Mus musculus: one gene and its partners. The protein of the gene in region 1 purifies or fractionates together with the protein of each later gene. This does not show direct contact. Links are inferred from orthologs where the notes say so. Each region holds a gene or a part of one and is shown in the gene's direction. Other genes may lie near its edges.

Region 1 (4,543 bases):
ATAATTCGCGTAGTCTCTCCCCATTCCCAAAGTGCTTCCCTTACAGCGCTGGGGAAGCGCTCTGAGAAGCCCTTGCCGAGACACTTAGCAGAACTTTGTTCTCTACATGGGCTATCTAGCTTTTCTCAGTGACATCACAACCTCCCGGACTCTTCACTGGCTGCTGAACACAGTCCAGGCAATGGTAAGAGGCTCCGGGCGCTGGCCGTGGTCCTGACCTCCTAGCTCAGAACCATGGTGCTGAGCGCACTAGAGGCGGGGACCTTGCCACACTGAGTAGCCATGTAAGCCCTTGTCCCTACAGACCCCAAGGGAATCCTCTAGTCTTCACTGCAGCCTTCCACTGCTCTCTTTGAGCTGCATCAAAAAAGGGTGGGGCTCTGAGCCGCAGCTGCAATCGGATGCCGCCCGGGAGGATTTAAGAACAGCACAGTGGTCCACCCCAATCGCCACTCGACGCCTCCAGCCCGGGGATCAGCTGGTCCCTGACGCGGGTTCCCCACCTCCCAGGGACAAGGAGGCTAGGGCAGCCTTTGTGGGAGCTCAAACGCCCACTGGCGAACCCGTGCCTCGCCGCACCCTGCGCGGTGAAGGGGTGGGCAGGGCGCGGTGCGCGTGCAGATGCGGGAGGCAGAGCTCTTGGTGCCGCGTGCTGGCTGGTGCTGGCTGCCACGCGGGGATGCTCGGTCCTCCGCGACAAGCCAGGGGGCAGCCCCGCGCTCCGATCCCACCCTCCACCCCCATACCAACCTGATCATAGATGTTCTGCAGGGCTTCCTTGCCCGAGGCCCGCCGGATCTCCACCTTCCGGCTCGATTCAACAGATGGCTCCCCACTGGCACGCCGGCTCTGCCGGTGCGGGTCGGGGCCCAAGTGGGCGACATCGCGCTGCTGAGCCACCACTTGCCCCGAGCCCCGGCCCACTGAAAGCGAGTCGAAGTCGATGGTCTTGTTCTCCGAGGACCCTTCCACAGGGCAGAACATGCCGCAGAATTTCTGCCGCGGCTTGGGACTGCCGGAGCCCAGGTTTTTAAAAAAGGCAGGGACCTCTTCGTCCTCTGCTGCCTTTCCAGATTGCTTTCTCTCGGCCATGGCTCAGGGGGCGCTGGGGAAGGTCCTGTCTGTTCGTCCGTCCGTCCGTGGTTTCCTAAGTCTCCCTAGCTGGGTGTGCACTAGCCTCTTGCTGCCGCCGCGGCTGCCTCTCCCTGCCTACCGCAAGGTGCACAGAAAGGATGGAGAGCTGGCGAACCGGCGACCCACCCCTCGCGGTCCCTCCTCCTGACCCCGCTTTCTCCCTCCCTGCCCACGCCCCCCGGCGCCGCCACGCCACCTCCGAGCAAAGTTGGATCTGAGCGGGCGGTCGCTGCGGCAGAGGATGCCAGTTCCCGGCAACGCGGGGCGGGGCGGAGTGGGGCGGGGCAGGAGGAACGCAGGATCAGGAGGGAGGGGACAAGGAGGGAGAGGACCCAGAAGGAGGAGACGGAGAAGGGAGGGTACGAGGGGGTGGGGGGCGCCCGGAGCCTGCGCCCCGGAAGTAAAGCGGACACTCCACCCGCTAATGGACGCGCGGCAGCCGCCCGACAGACCTCTCTCGGCGCCAGGGTGAGTGTCGGATAGCTATAGCCGGGCAAGGACCCGAAGGCTCAGACCCTAGTCCAGAGCCCCTCTCCCCGACCTGCCTCACTGCATTGCTAAGGTGGCCCTGGGGCTCCCCTGGCCTCGGGTGAGAGCTGAGGGTTGAGGGAGCCAAGGTTCAAGCCTGAAGGCTCTTGGAAACTGGGCAGGGGTGACCCTGGAAACAGCAAAGTCTACTCCGGGATAACCAAGTATCCGGCACCAATGCTTCAGTTTACCCACGACCTGGGCGCCAGGGCGCGCACTGCAAGGAGCAGAAGGAAAGGAGAATGTTCTCCCTGCTTGCAGCCCCTGTGGTTGGGAGGTGGGGCTCACAACATGGCGGGGGCGAAAAAGCAGAGGAGCATAGCAAATGCAAGCGGTGACCGGGGGAGAAAGCAGCAAGCCTGCGGTGCGGGGGGGGGGGGGGGGGGCATAGTAAAGAATGCAGACTGAGGATTGCGCTTCAGCATAGAAACTGGGGACCCGTAACATCATCTGAAAAGGCCATGCCCTGCACATCAGCCATTGCCTCAGAAAAGGCTCAGAAGAGTCCTGGATTTGATATCTCCAATCCCTCAAAACACACACACACACACACACACACACACACACACACACACACACACACCCAAAACGGAAAATGGTTGGGGACTAAGCAGACTGAAGCACACTCATCTTGCTTTCAAGTCGCCCCGCCTAGCTTCCCCGCCCCTGTTGCACGCTGCGCAGGAGGCCCGGGAGTTTGCCAGATGTTCCTTCTCTAGGGCCGCAGCGGTTTGCATGGAGGGTAGAGGTAGATTGCTGTTCAGGGGAGGGTTACATGCTGTGTGAGTTGTGGGCAGCCAAAGTGTGGGGATTTGGAGTGTGTGCGCGCGTGCACACGGTTCAGCCACGACCGCCAGGTTCGAGGCTTTTCCTTGCTTAGTCCCACCTCCTGGTCCTGGCTTGGTTGCATTTAAGCCCCTCCTGTTTTTCCAGAGTGGCTGAAAGCTGCAAAAGTGTTGCCCATCCTTTAGGGGTTCTGGAGCGAGATCTGAGCATGCTCACTAAGATGGATGGGTTTGGTCTAGGAGAGGCAGTTTACTGCAGCGTGTTCTCACAGGGCGTTGTGACCAAGAAATCAGTCCCATTGTCAGCCTTTGCTTAGGTAACGATTGCTTGCAGATATCAACGCCCCCAGTTGCCCGAGATAGCTTGATTGATGGAGTCATAATTTGTGCGCACACACACACAATCCTGTAGGAGCCGAAAGGAGGGCCTATGGACCTTAGCACCAGAAATGCTTGGAATTTTCTTATAAAGTGTCCATTGGAATTGTCAATGCCACACTAAAGCCCTGAGGTCTTTCATCCTCCCTGCCTTCCAAGTTAGGACACCAGTTTATGAGTCATTACGCCTAAAGTCATGTGTCTAGTTGTCCAGGCCTTTGCCCCAAGAGCCTGGTTCCTTCAACAGGTTATCCTATAGGCCTCTTTAGTGAGAAAAGTACAAAATCCTTGCATTCTTCCATACCCAAGCATTTCCCTGGTGGTTCTTTTGTACATCAAGGGTGTTTCATTTACAGTCTTAAAATCTTTTTTGGTTAACCTTCATTTATGTATATGGATGTTTTGCTTGAATGTTTGTACATGCACTGTGTACAGGCCTGGGGCCATTGGCGGCCAGACAAAAGTGCCAGATTCCCCTGGAATTGAAGTTACAGAGTAAGCCAACTTGTGGGTGCTAGTAACCAAACCTGTGCATTTCACCACTAAGCAATCCCTCCAGATGTGTGAGGCCTTAGTTAATTGAAGAGCAACCCTTGTAGGTATGGTTACCATTGGGTTAAAGGTCTCAAAGGCTAGCAGATTTCAGCATGACAATTTTTCTGTGAATCTGGACATTTGGTGTTTTTTGTTCATTTGTTTGTATTTGTCTTTTTTGTTTGTTCGTTCGTTTTCTGTTTGTTTCGGTTTTTCAAGAGAGGGTTTCTCCGTGTGACAGCTCTGGCTGTCCTAGAACATACTCTGTAGACCAGGCTGGCCTGGAACTCAGAGTTCTGCCTGCCTCTGCTTCCCAAGTGCTAGGATTACAGGCATGCGCCACCACTACCCAGCATGTCGCTTGTGTTTGTTTTTGCTCTTTCTGAGACAAGGTCCTGTTTGTAAGCCCAGGCTGACCTCAAACTCCCGATGTAGCCAAGGGAGTTAAACTCCTGGCTCACTTACCTTCACCACTTAAGTGCTGGGGTAATGGGTATGTGCCACGGCGCCTGGCTTATGCAGTGCTTGGGATCTAACTCAAGGCTTTGTACATAGTGACAGCACTCTGCCAACTAGGCTACAGTCCTAGCCCCTCCAGAGCTCTTCACATCTCATTCCTCGAAACAACTCCAAGCAGAGGAAGTTCACTCCCATATTTTACAAGGGAATCTCAGGCCTAGATTGGTCTGAAGTTCCGGGCTCCCATGCTGCCAAGCACAGGGTGAGACAGCATCTTGCTCTCCTGGTTCTGACACAGTGGAACAGCCTTCAACACCTTCCAGGAAGACCGGATCTGCTCCTGCTGCTGCCATAGTTAAGACCAGCATCTGTGGCATACAACCTCCTTCAGAGTGATGGGAGATGTTCAAACCAAGGAGGAAGTGGATATAGCACCCTAACACACCCTCTACAAGTCTCTGAGAGGCACAGTCAGGCACCAAATTACAACATTTCAGTTGACATAACACATGTGCCCTATAAGAATGCATGGTCTAGTGATGGCACTCTGACATTCAGCCAATTAGGAAGCGGCTTCTCTGGAGGCATCCTCATGACTAAGTGACCACACTGTCACTGGGAGCACTCCCTTTTACATTCTCCAGTCTCCCCAGCCCTGCAGAGCAAGCACGCTTGGTGCACACATCACTTTGCAGTGGATATGTGTTCTGTCTTTGCCCTTTTCT
Region 2 (3,954 bases), on another chromosome or scaffold:
TCGCATTGTGGGTAATCTGCATAATTCCTAGAAACAAAACAGTAGAAGAGTGCTGTTTTCTAATTAAAATGTACATAAATTATAACATTGCAGAAATCAGTTCATGACTTGATTCCAACTTATAAACTGTTGTCTAAGGTATATTTAGTAGTAAGTTGTTAAAACTTTAAGTATGTTTTTTCATGTTTTCTCATTTCTGATGAGCACAATATATTCTCTTGTGTGGCCCAAGAGTGGGTCAAAGACATGGGTTTTCAGAGGCACCCAGTAAGACATCTTAGCATTAGGCCACCAGGCAATGGCATGTGAAAAGGAAAAAGCTGAAAGGTTGAGATTCTAAATGGAAGAGGAGTTTCTGTAATTACTGATTGTTCTCACTGTGGGTTCTGGCCTTGAAACTTTAGAAATGCATTAGCAGAAATTATCTGAATATAAGTTTAAGTTAAAACTGGAAAAAGTAATATATAGTTTAAAAACATTACAAAGTTTTGTTTTAAATAGTGTGACTTTGGTGTGTAATTTGTTTATTGTATTTGTAGTTCATATATTTTGTGATAATTTATTCAAGTGTGTGTCCAATGATGTCTTTTCTGTTTGTTTGTTTTTGTTTTTTTTTAATTACCTTAGTCACGTGAACTGGAAATTTCAGTTTATTGGCGTGATTGGCGATCTCTGTGTGCTGTAAAATTTCTGAGGTTAGAAGATTTTTTAGACAACCAGCGGCATGGCATGTGTCTCTATTTGGAACCACAGGGTACTTTGTTTGCAGAGGTAATACATGTATTTTATTAATGTGCATAACCACAGTAGAAATTGTATGTGTTATCAGCATGATGTAGAAATGGCAAGAGTGTTAGGCTGAGAGACAGATATGTTGAGCTCTTGGCTGCACTGCTGCATAAGGACGTGACCTTGAGGAAACTCATGTCTCCTCTAGGTCTGTGTTCTCATCTGGAAAAGGAAGGGGTTGGACTGATTGTAGCTAAGGTGCCTTCACGTTCTCCAGCTTAGGAATCTAGTAGATTTTAGTGAATCATAGTCCATTACAGTGTTGATAGCAACTTGTATTTTCTTTATTGCAGGTTACTTTTTTTAATCCAGTTATTGAAAGACGACCAAAACTCCAAAGACAAAAGAAAATTTTTTCAAAACAACAAGGTAATTACTAAGGATTAAGCATAGTACTTTATGTATAGAAAAAATCCAGCTCATAATTTGAAAGTAATTGTGCTTTCTTTCTTCTTAGTTGTTCATTTCTAGCCATTTTTAAATGAGGACTGAAACACGTCCTTAAGTGGAATAACAGAACACCGTGCTTTTGTTTTATTTTCAGTCAGTAGCCTATGTGACCTCAAAGGGTGCTGTCTTTAAGGACGTCCTTAAAATGATTCCCCTGCCTCCGTTTCCCAAGTACTTGGACTATGGGCACATACCGCCATGCCTGACTTTTTACTGAATTTGAGTAATAATCAACTCACGACTCTTACCATCTCCCATCCACTCTGCTTTGTGAGCTTATTTGAAGCATACTCATATATCACTAAGACTTGTTGTTCGTCATAACAGATGACTTAAACTTTAACCACATGTAATACTAGAGTTAAAAAAGAAATCAAACTCTCGATCTATTTTTAAAAACTGTTTGTGCTATTTATACGTGCTTGTAATAGAAAACAAAATAGTTAAAAACTAGGTTTTAAGTTACAAATTTGTTCTTCATAAATTCTAAACTGATGAATTATGAATTTCCCTAATTATGGTTTTCAGTAATGTATAAAGAAACTACTTATCCTACTTTCGTTATTCACTATGTCTACAGGCAAAACATTTCTCAGAGCTCCTCAGATGAATATTAATATTGCCACTTGGGGAAGACTAGTGAGACGAGCTATTCCCACAGTAAATCATTCTGGCACATTCAGCCCTCAGACTCCTGTGCCTGCAACAGTGCCAGTCGTTGACGCACGCATTCCTGATCTAGCACCTCCGGCCAGGTACTTGTCTTAGAAGGCTTGAGTGTATCTTCCATAGCCATTGCTAGGATGTCTAACGTGCTGTGTTCAGTCTCAGTCTTTCCAAGTGGAATTGCAGAACTGTTGCTCCTTATTTAAAAGAAGTTAGTTTGCTTTTATTTTGCAGCTACATAAAAATAAAGACTTTGATTGCAGCTTTGGTAAATTGCTTTGTCTTCTATAAGTGACTCTACAGTAACCAAATTGGACTTTGATCTTGAACCTGAACCTCCTCCAGCCCCACCTCGTGCTTCTTCCCTTGGAGAGACAGATGAATCTTCTGAATTGAGAGTTTTGGATATACCTGGACAGGCAAGGCATTCTAAACATTCCTTGTATAAGTTCTTCTTAAAATAAAACCATTATAGTGGCTAACATGTACATTGCAATTAAAATTATCAGTATGAAGTATGAATTTATGGTTTTCTGGTTCCTTTATGTTTGTGTTTTATAAGTGACTTTTCTCAGGTAGATGAAATTGATAGGAGATAGCCGTTCTTCCTGTTGGAGGACTGTTATCATTTGCCTCTGTATTCAAGAGTCCAAAAGGAATGCAATGTTTTGCAGACATTAGAAGAAGATAATATGCTTGAGGGAAGGAGAGCTGTTTGTTTAACAATAAGAACAAATGAGCCAATCTGAAACTTTTTCTCATACTTTTGGAATTCTCTGACTTTTATCTAACAGTTTGTTTTAATGAGCATTTGATATTTTACAGGGTTCAGAAACTGTTTTCAATATTGAGAATGACAGAAATAACCTGCGTCCAAAATCCAAATCTGAATATGAGCTGAGCATTCCTGACTCAGGTCGAAGCTGCTGGGGTGTTGGAGAGCTTGATGACAAGAGGTAAGGGATGAGCAGGCACGCTGCTTCGCCGTCTGTCCGTCTGTCCGTCAGCCGGCTGGTGGCTGGAGTGGAGTTGATGGCCTCATCTTTAATCGTTATGTTTCAGAGCTCAGCAGAGGTTTCAGTTCAGTCTACAGGACTTCAGGTGCTGTGCTGTCTTGGGGAGAGGACACTTTGGAAAGGTAATCTGTCAGCACTGTAGAAATAGCGTATAGGATGAGAAATTCAAATAGAACTCAGTTATTTATTCTTATTTCAGGTGCTGTTGGCGGAATATAAACACACAAATGAAATGTTTGCAATAAAAGCCTTAAAGAAAGGAGACATTGTGGCACGAGATGAAGTAGACAGGTCAGTTTTTTAAAATGAAGTTTTTCCTTGTGGCTAGAGATTGAGAGAGTAGACAGCAATGGATCTGAGTTCCTAGAAATATTTGATAATGCTAAATTTATCTTCTATGGCAAAACTAGACATTAATTAAATGCTGTTTTTCTTTTCAGTCACCTCTTTCCCTTAAGCCAGGTTTGGTGATACCAAGTAAAGACAGGGAAATGTTTAAAATAATTCTGTTAAATTTTAATAAGTTACAGTATTGATAAAGTATTAAAATGTAACTATTACTGATTTGTGACTTACTTAGTAAAACTAATCACATTTTCACCCGTGACGCAGATAAAATGTCATTTCCTGATAATATATAAGTAACTCAATGGTTAATATAGTCTGTGTTTTGAAATATACCTTTATGAATTTTCCTTTATGTATTAAAAATTATAGTTATTGGGGAAAGGATTGTTGGAGGGGGTGACTAGCAGGGGGCCAGTGAGCAGGATGTCAAGTGACTAAGTAAAAATTTAAATTCTTAAAAAATATAGTTATTTACTGTATATATGTGCACACATGCAGAGGCATATGTCAGTCATGTTGAGACCAAAACCAGCGTCTCTCCGTGTGAGTCTGGAGATCAGATTCAGGTCTTCTCAGCAAGACCCTTCTCCTGCTGAGCCATCCTGCTAGACCTCCTTTTGTGGTTTTTCTTCTCAAAAAATCCATTCTTTTTCTTTTTCCTTTTCTTTTTTTTCCTAGCCAGGGT
Region 3 (3,954 bases), on another chromosome or scaffold:
CTAAGGAGACTGAGACAGGAGGGTTCCTTGAGCCTATGCGTTTGTAAGACCCCTTCTCTTACAGTAGAATGAAATGAGACAGTATGACTCAGAATGAAGTCTGCCATCCATTTGAATATTTCCACTTTCAAAGTAATCACGCCCTTGAGATTCGAATTTTACTGTTTAAAAAAAACATATTATTTGGGCAAACAGAAAAAAGATACTCAATTTTGACTTTAGATATAGCACCAGAAAATCACTGTTGTTTGGCTTACTAGGAGAGAGAAGAATGAATGTGAGTGTGTGTGTGTGTGTATTTCATTTTATACTGCATTTTCAAAAAGTTTTTTACAAAAATTACTTGCAACAAGATTTTTTCTTTGTGGCCGGCCAATATTACCTCAAAGAAAATGACTATAAAAAGAAAGGGAAATAACTAGTTTAAAGGTATAAATGATTTAAAGTGTTCAGAATTTCCACAGAAAATTATTTGGTAGCTGGGTATTGTTTCACCCTTAACATTGGCAATTCAAAAGCAGATGGGGAGATTGCTCAGTGGTTAAGAGTACTGGCTATCCTTTAGAGGACCCAGATTTAATTCTCAGCACCCACATGACAGCTCACAACTGTCTGTAACTCGATTTCCAAGGGATCTGGTAGCCTCTTCTGATCGATCTCTTTGGGTAAGCAGGCATACAGTGGTTGGTGCACAGACATATATAGTCAAAACACCTGTACACATTTAAAGAAAGAAAGAAAGGAAGGAAGGAAGGAAGGAAGGAAGGAAGGAAGGAAGGAAGGAAGGAAAGAAAGAAGGAAAGAAAGAAGGAAAGAAAGAAGGAAAGAAAGAAAAAAGAAAGGAAGGAAGAAGAGAGAGAAAAAGAGAAAAGAAAGGAAAGAAAAGGAAGTTACAAAGAGAAAAAGAATAAGTATAGAATAGAATCAGTATAGCAACAATCATGAATATATCCTGGAGTCTTTGTCATGGAAGAATTGGTTCAGACTGACTGGATCCTTCCTCTAATAATGTCTCTTTCAGTCTCCAGCCAGCTAGCCTGGGTTATGCAGCAGCAAAGACACCGTGCCTCAAACTAGCTGGAAAGGTGAGGACTGACATCCAAAGGTTGTCCTCTGACCTCCACATGTGCACTGTTGTGCATGCCCACAACCATCCACGCCCCTCTCCAAAAACATGCACATGCATACATACACTACACCCACACAGGTCTAAGAGCAGATAGTGAATTCTGAATAATGAACTTATCTGTGGGAGGGTTCAAGGGGCTTCTAATTAGCATCATCAAACCTAGCTCTCATTTGTGATGTACTGTTGGATGCTCTGAGGTGCTAATTGTCAGAAGGAGGAAAAGATAGTGATTCATCTTTGAAGTGGGCAATTTAGTTGATTATTTGTAAATCCTTCTTATTTTTTTAAACCCTCAGGTAATCTAGTAATAGAGAGTAAGCCAGCTCCTGGTTATACTCCTAATGTTGTAGTTGGGCAAGTTCCTCCAGGGACAAACCACATTAGTAAAACCCCTGGACAGATTAATTTAGCACAGCTTCGACTCCAGCACATGCAGCAACAAGTGTATGCACAGAAACATCAGCAGTTACAACAGATGAGACTGCAGCAACCACCAGCTCCTATACCAACAACAACAGCAACAACCCAGCAGCATCCTAGGCAAGCAGCCCCACAGATGTTACAACAACAGGTAAGCATTGTGCTCTTCCATTAATGATAGAAATTGAGATGACCACAAATCTACACTTACTTCTTTGCACATGAATTACACAATATGAGTTACTAGGTGAAGTTCAAAGGTCAGAAATTTGGGGGAAGTTTAAAGAATAAAGGTGTTAAGATCATGGGAAGCAGTGACATTTTGCCTCTTGATATGTTATATACCCCCCCCCCCCATTTGTGTGACCCAGATTGTTTCTAAGCTTTGATGCGTTAGGCATTGGCTGAAATTACTCTTTTCTTTGATGTTGTTTATATGCTGCTTCACAATCAATATTGTTAGCTCCGCACGAGATGAGTTAATGTCGACCTCCATTTCCTTCCCGCACTCCCACCTAGAAAAGGTAGATAGGAAAAATTTGGAGTTACTTTTTATAGTAATTATCAGTTCTGTAAGTATTGGGTTTGGAAAGAGAATATGACCTAATAGTGTACCCTTAATACTACTTAATATTTATACCCTTCTGTTCTAACTGAATTACTGTTACCTTAACATTTTATGATTTGAACAATAAATTTGTAGAAATATCAGCTGGGCATGGTGGAGTTTGCCTTTAATCCCAGCACTTGGGAGGCATAGGCAAGTGGATCTCTGAGGTTGAGAATAGCCTGGTCTTCATAGTGAGTTCCAGGACAGCCATGGCTACAAAGAGAAACCCTGTCTCAAAAAGCCAAAAGAAAAAAGAAAAAAAAAAAAAAGGAACTACTATATGAATTAAAATGTCTGCTTTTTTACAGCCTCCAAGATTGATCAGTGTGCAAACAATGCAAAGAGGCAACATGAACTGTGGAGCATTTCAAGCCCATCAAATGAGACTGGCTCAGAATGCTGCCAGAATACCAGGGATCCCCAGGCACAGTGCCCCTCAGTATTCCATGATGCAGCCACATCTCCAAAGACAAGTATGCCTAGAGTTACATTTGTAAGAATCATACAATTTTAAAACTAAAAGATCATTTTTTATAATTAGAGTTGTTGATGAGGGTCTTTGATATTTATGATAGTTTGATATTCTACATATATCTGTTTGCCCAAAAAAATGTACATTCACATGAAAATTTGTCTCTTTAAACTTACAATATGGATTAAGATACTCTGTTTATCTAAGCTCATTGCCTAGAGTGAAAAACAAGTCAAGGAACATTTGATTTACCTTTAGTCACAAATGATAATTCTGAAAATCAAAGTTAGAGTTTTCCTGATACAGTTAGTATGCTTTTTAACATGACATTTTGATCTTGATAACAAAGAATTCTTTAATAAGGTTATCTGTGTGTGTATGTCTGTGTTTTTATATATTTTCTTTTCTATACTCAGGTGTTATTTGTTTTAGATATGCCTAATCTTATAAATTACTGTGGGTTAGGGTGTAGGTCTGTTGTAAAATGGTTGAAATTCTGGGATTGATCCATTACTGCCAAGAAACTCCCAAGATGTTTCTGATGACGATGATGATGATCTCAGGTTGAGTGGCTTTGATTGTCATTCCAGTGCTAGAGAGGTAGAGGCAGGAGATCAGAAGTTCAAGGTTATCCTTAGCTTTATAGAAAATTCAAGGTCAGCCTAGGCTATAGTAGATTTTGTCTCAAAAGCCAATTATATAGGGTGGAGAAATGGTGATTAATGCGCTTGTTACTCTCCAGAGAGCCACATATGGTTCCAAGGACTTATCTGGCAGCTCAGAAATATTTCCAAAAGACCTTAAATATGTATGACCTTAATCCTTGTAATAGTTCTCTTAATGAAATCAGAATGGAATCATTTATCCATAATTCAGGGTTACTATGTAAGATTATGTCACTGTTTAGGACTGTATAATAGTAGAGCTAGAAATCAATGTCATAATTCCTTTCTGAAACTCATGAATTTCTACCATATCAAGTTACATTTTGTAGTTCTTTTTTAATTGGCTAAAAGACTAAAGAATCAGAGAGGAATATGTTCAGAACTGTGCTTTCTGTGTCCTGCTATTTGCAAACTTGGTGGCTTTCACATCTTCATACATCCTTATTCTGAAGATCATATCAGTAGGCTGACAGATTAACAATTATTTGCAAATCTGTTTTTCTTTAGATAGTACATAAAAACGAGTGAAAAATGAAGACTCGTTTAAACTGTTCTCTTGCATATGAGAGGCCCCCACTTTGTCAGTTGCAGGTACTTTTAGTTTGGAAAGTACACACTAAAAATAGTTACAATTGTTGCTAAGGTATGGTTCAGAGAT

The links. Proteins that work in one complex are often made in the same cells at the same time.
Region 2: the proteins of Pnma2 (region 1) and Pkn2 purify together in Homo sapiens (affinity purification with mass spectrometry; 3 studies listed by BioGRID and IntAct, with this or other methods). This does not show direct contact. The link is inferred for Mus musculus from reciprocal best matches to the Homo sapiens genes PNMA2 and PKN2.
Region 3: the proteins of Pnma2 (region 1) and Trim33 purify together in Homo sapiens (affinity purification with mass spectrometry; 3 studies listed by BioGRID and IntAct, with this or other methods). This does not show direct contact. The link is inferred for Mus musculus from reciprocal best matches to the Homo sapiens genes PNMA2 and TRIM33.

What each region holds. Positions count from the first base shown.
Region 1 is NC_000080.6:66,909,692-66,914,234, forward strand, and holds the start of Pnma2 (paraneoplastic antigen Ma2 homolog), read left to right. Parts: upstream 1-1,516; 5' UTR 1,517-1,602; intron 1,603-4,543. Other genes in the region: Dpysl2 (dihydropyrimidinase-related protein 2), read right to left, coding at 751-1,092.
Region 2 is NC_000069.6:142,808,731-142,812,684, reverse strand, and holds part of Pkn2 (serine/threonine-protein kinase N2), read left to right. Parts: intron 1-627; coding exon 628-771; intron 772-1,082; coding exon 1,083-1,158; intron 1,159-1,819; coding exon 1,820-1,994; intron 1,995-2,197; coding exon 2,198-2,324; intron 2,325-2,730; coding exon 2,731-2,861; intron 2,862-2,967; coding exon 2,968-3,043; intron 3,044-3,120; coding exon 3,121-3,212; intron 3,213-3,954. UniProt on the Homo sapiens protein: PKC-related serine/threonine-protein kinase and Rho/Rac effector protein that participates in specific signal transduction responses in the cell.
Region 3 is NC_000069.6:103,327,613-103,331,566, forward strand, and holds part of Trim33 (E3 ubiquitin-protein ligase TRIM33), read left to right. Parts: intron 1-1,425; coding exon 1,426-1,700; intron 1,701-2,467; coding exon 2,468-2,632; exon of another isoform or gene 2,633-2,652; intron 2,653-3,954. UniProt on the Homo sapiens protein: Acts as an E3 ubiquitin-protein ligase. Promotes SMAD4 ubiquitination, nuclear exclusion and degradation via the ubiquitin proteasome pathway. According to PubMed:16751102, does not promote a decrease in the level of endogenous SMAD4.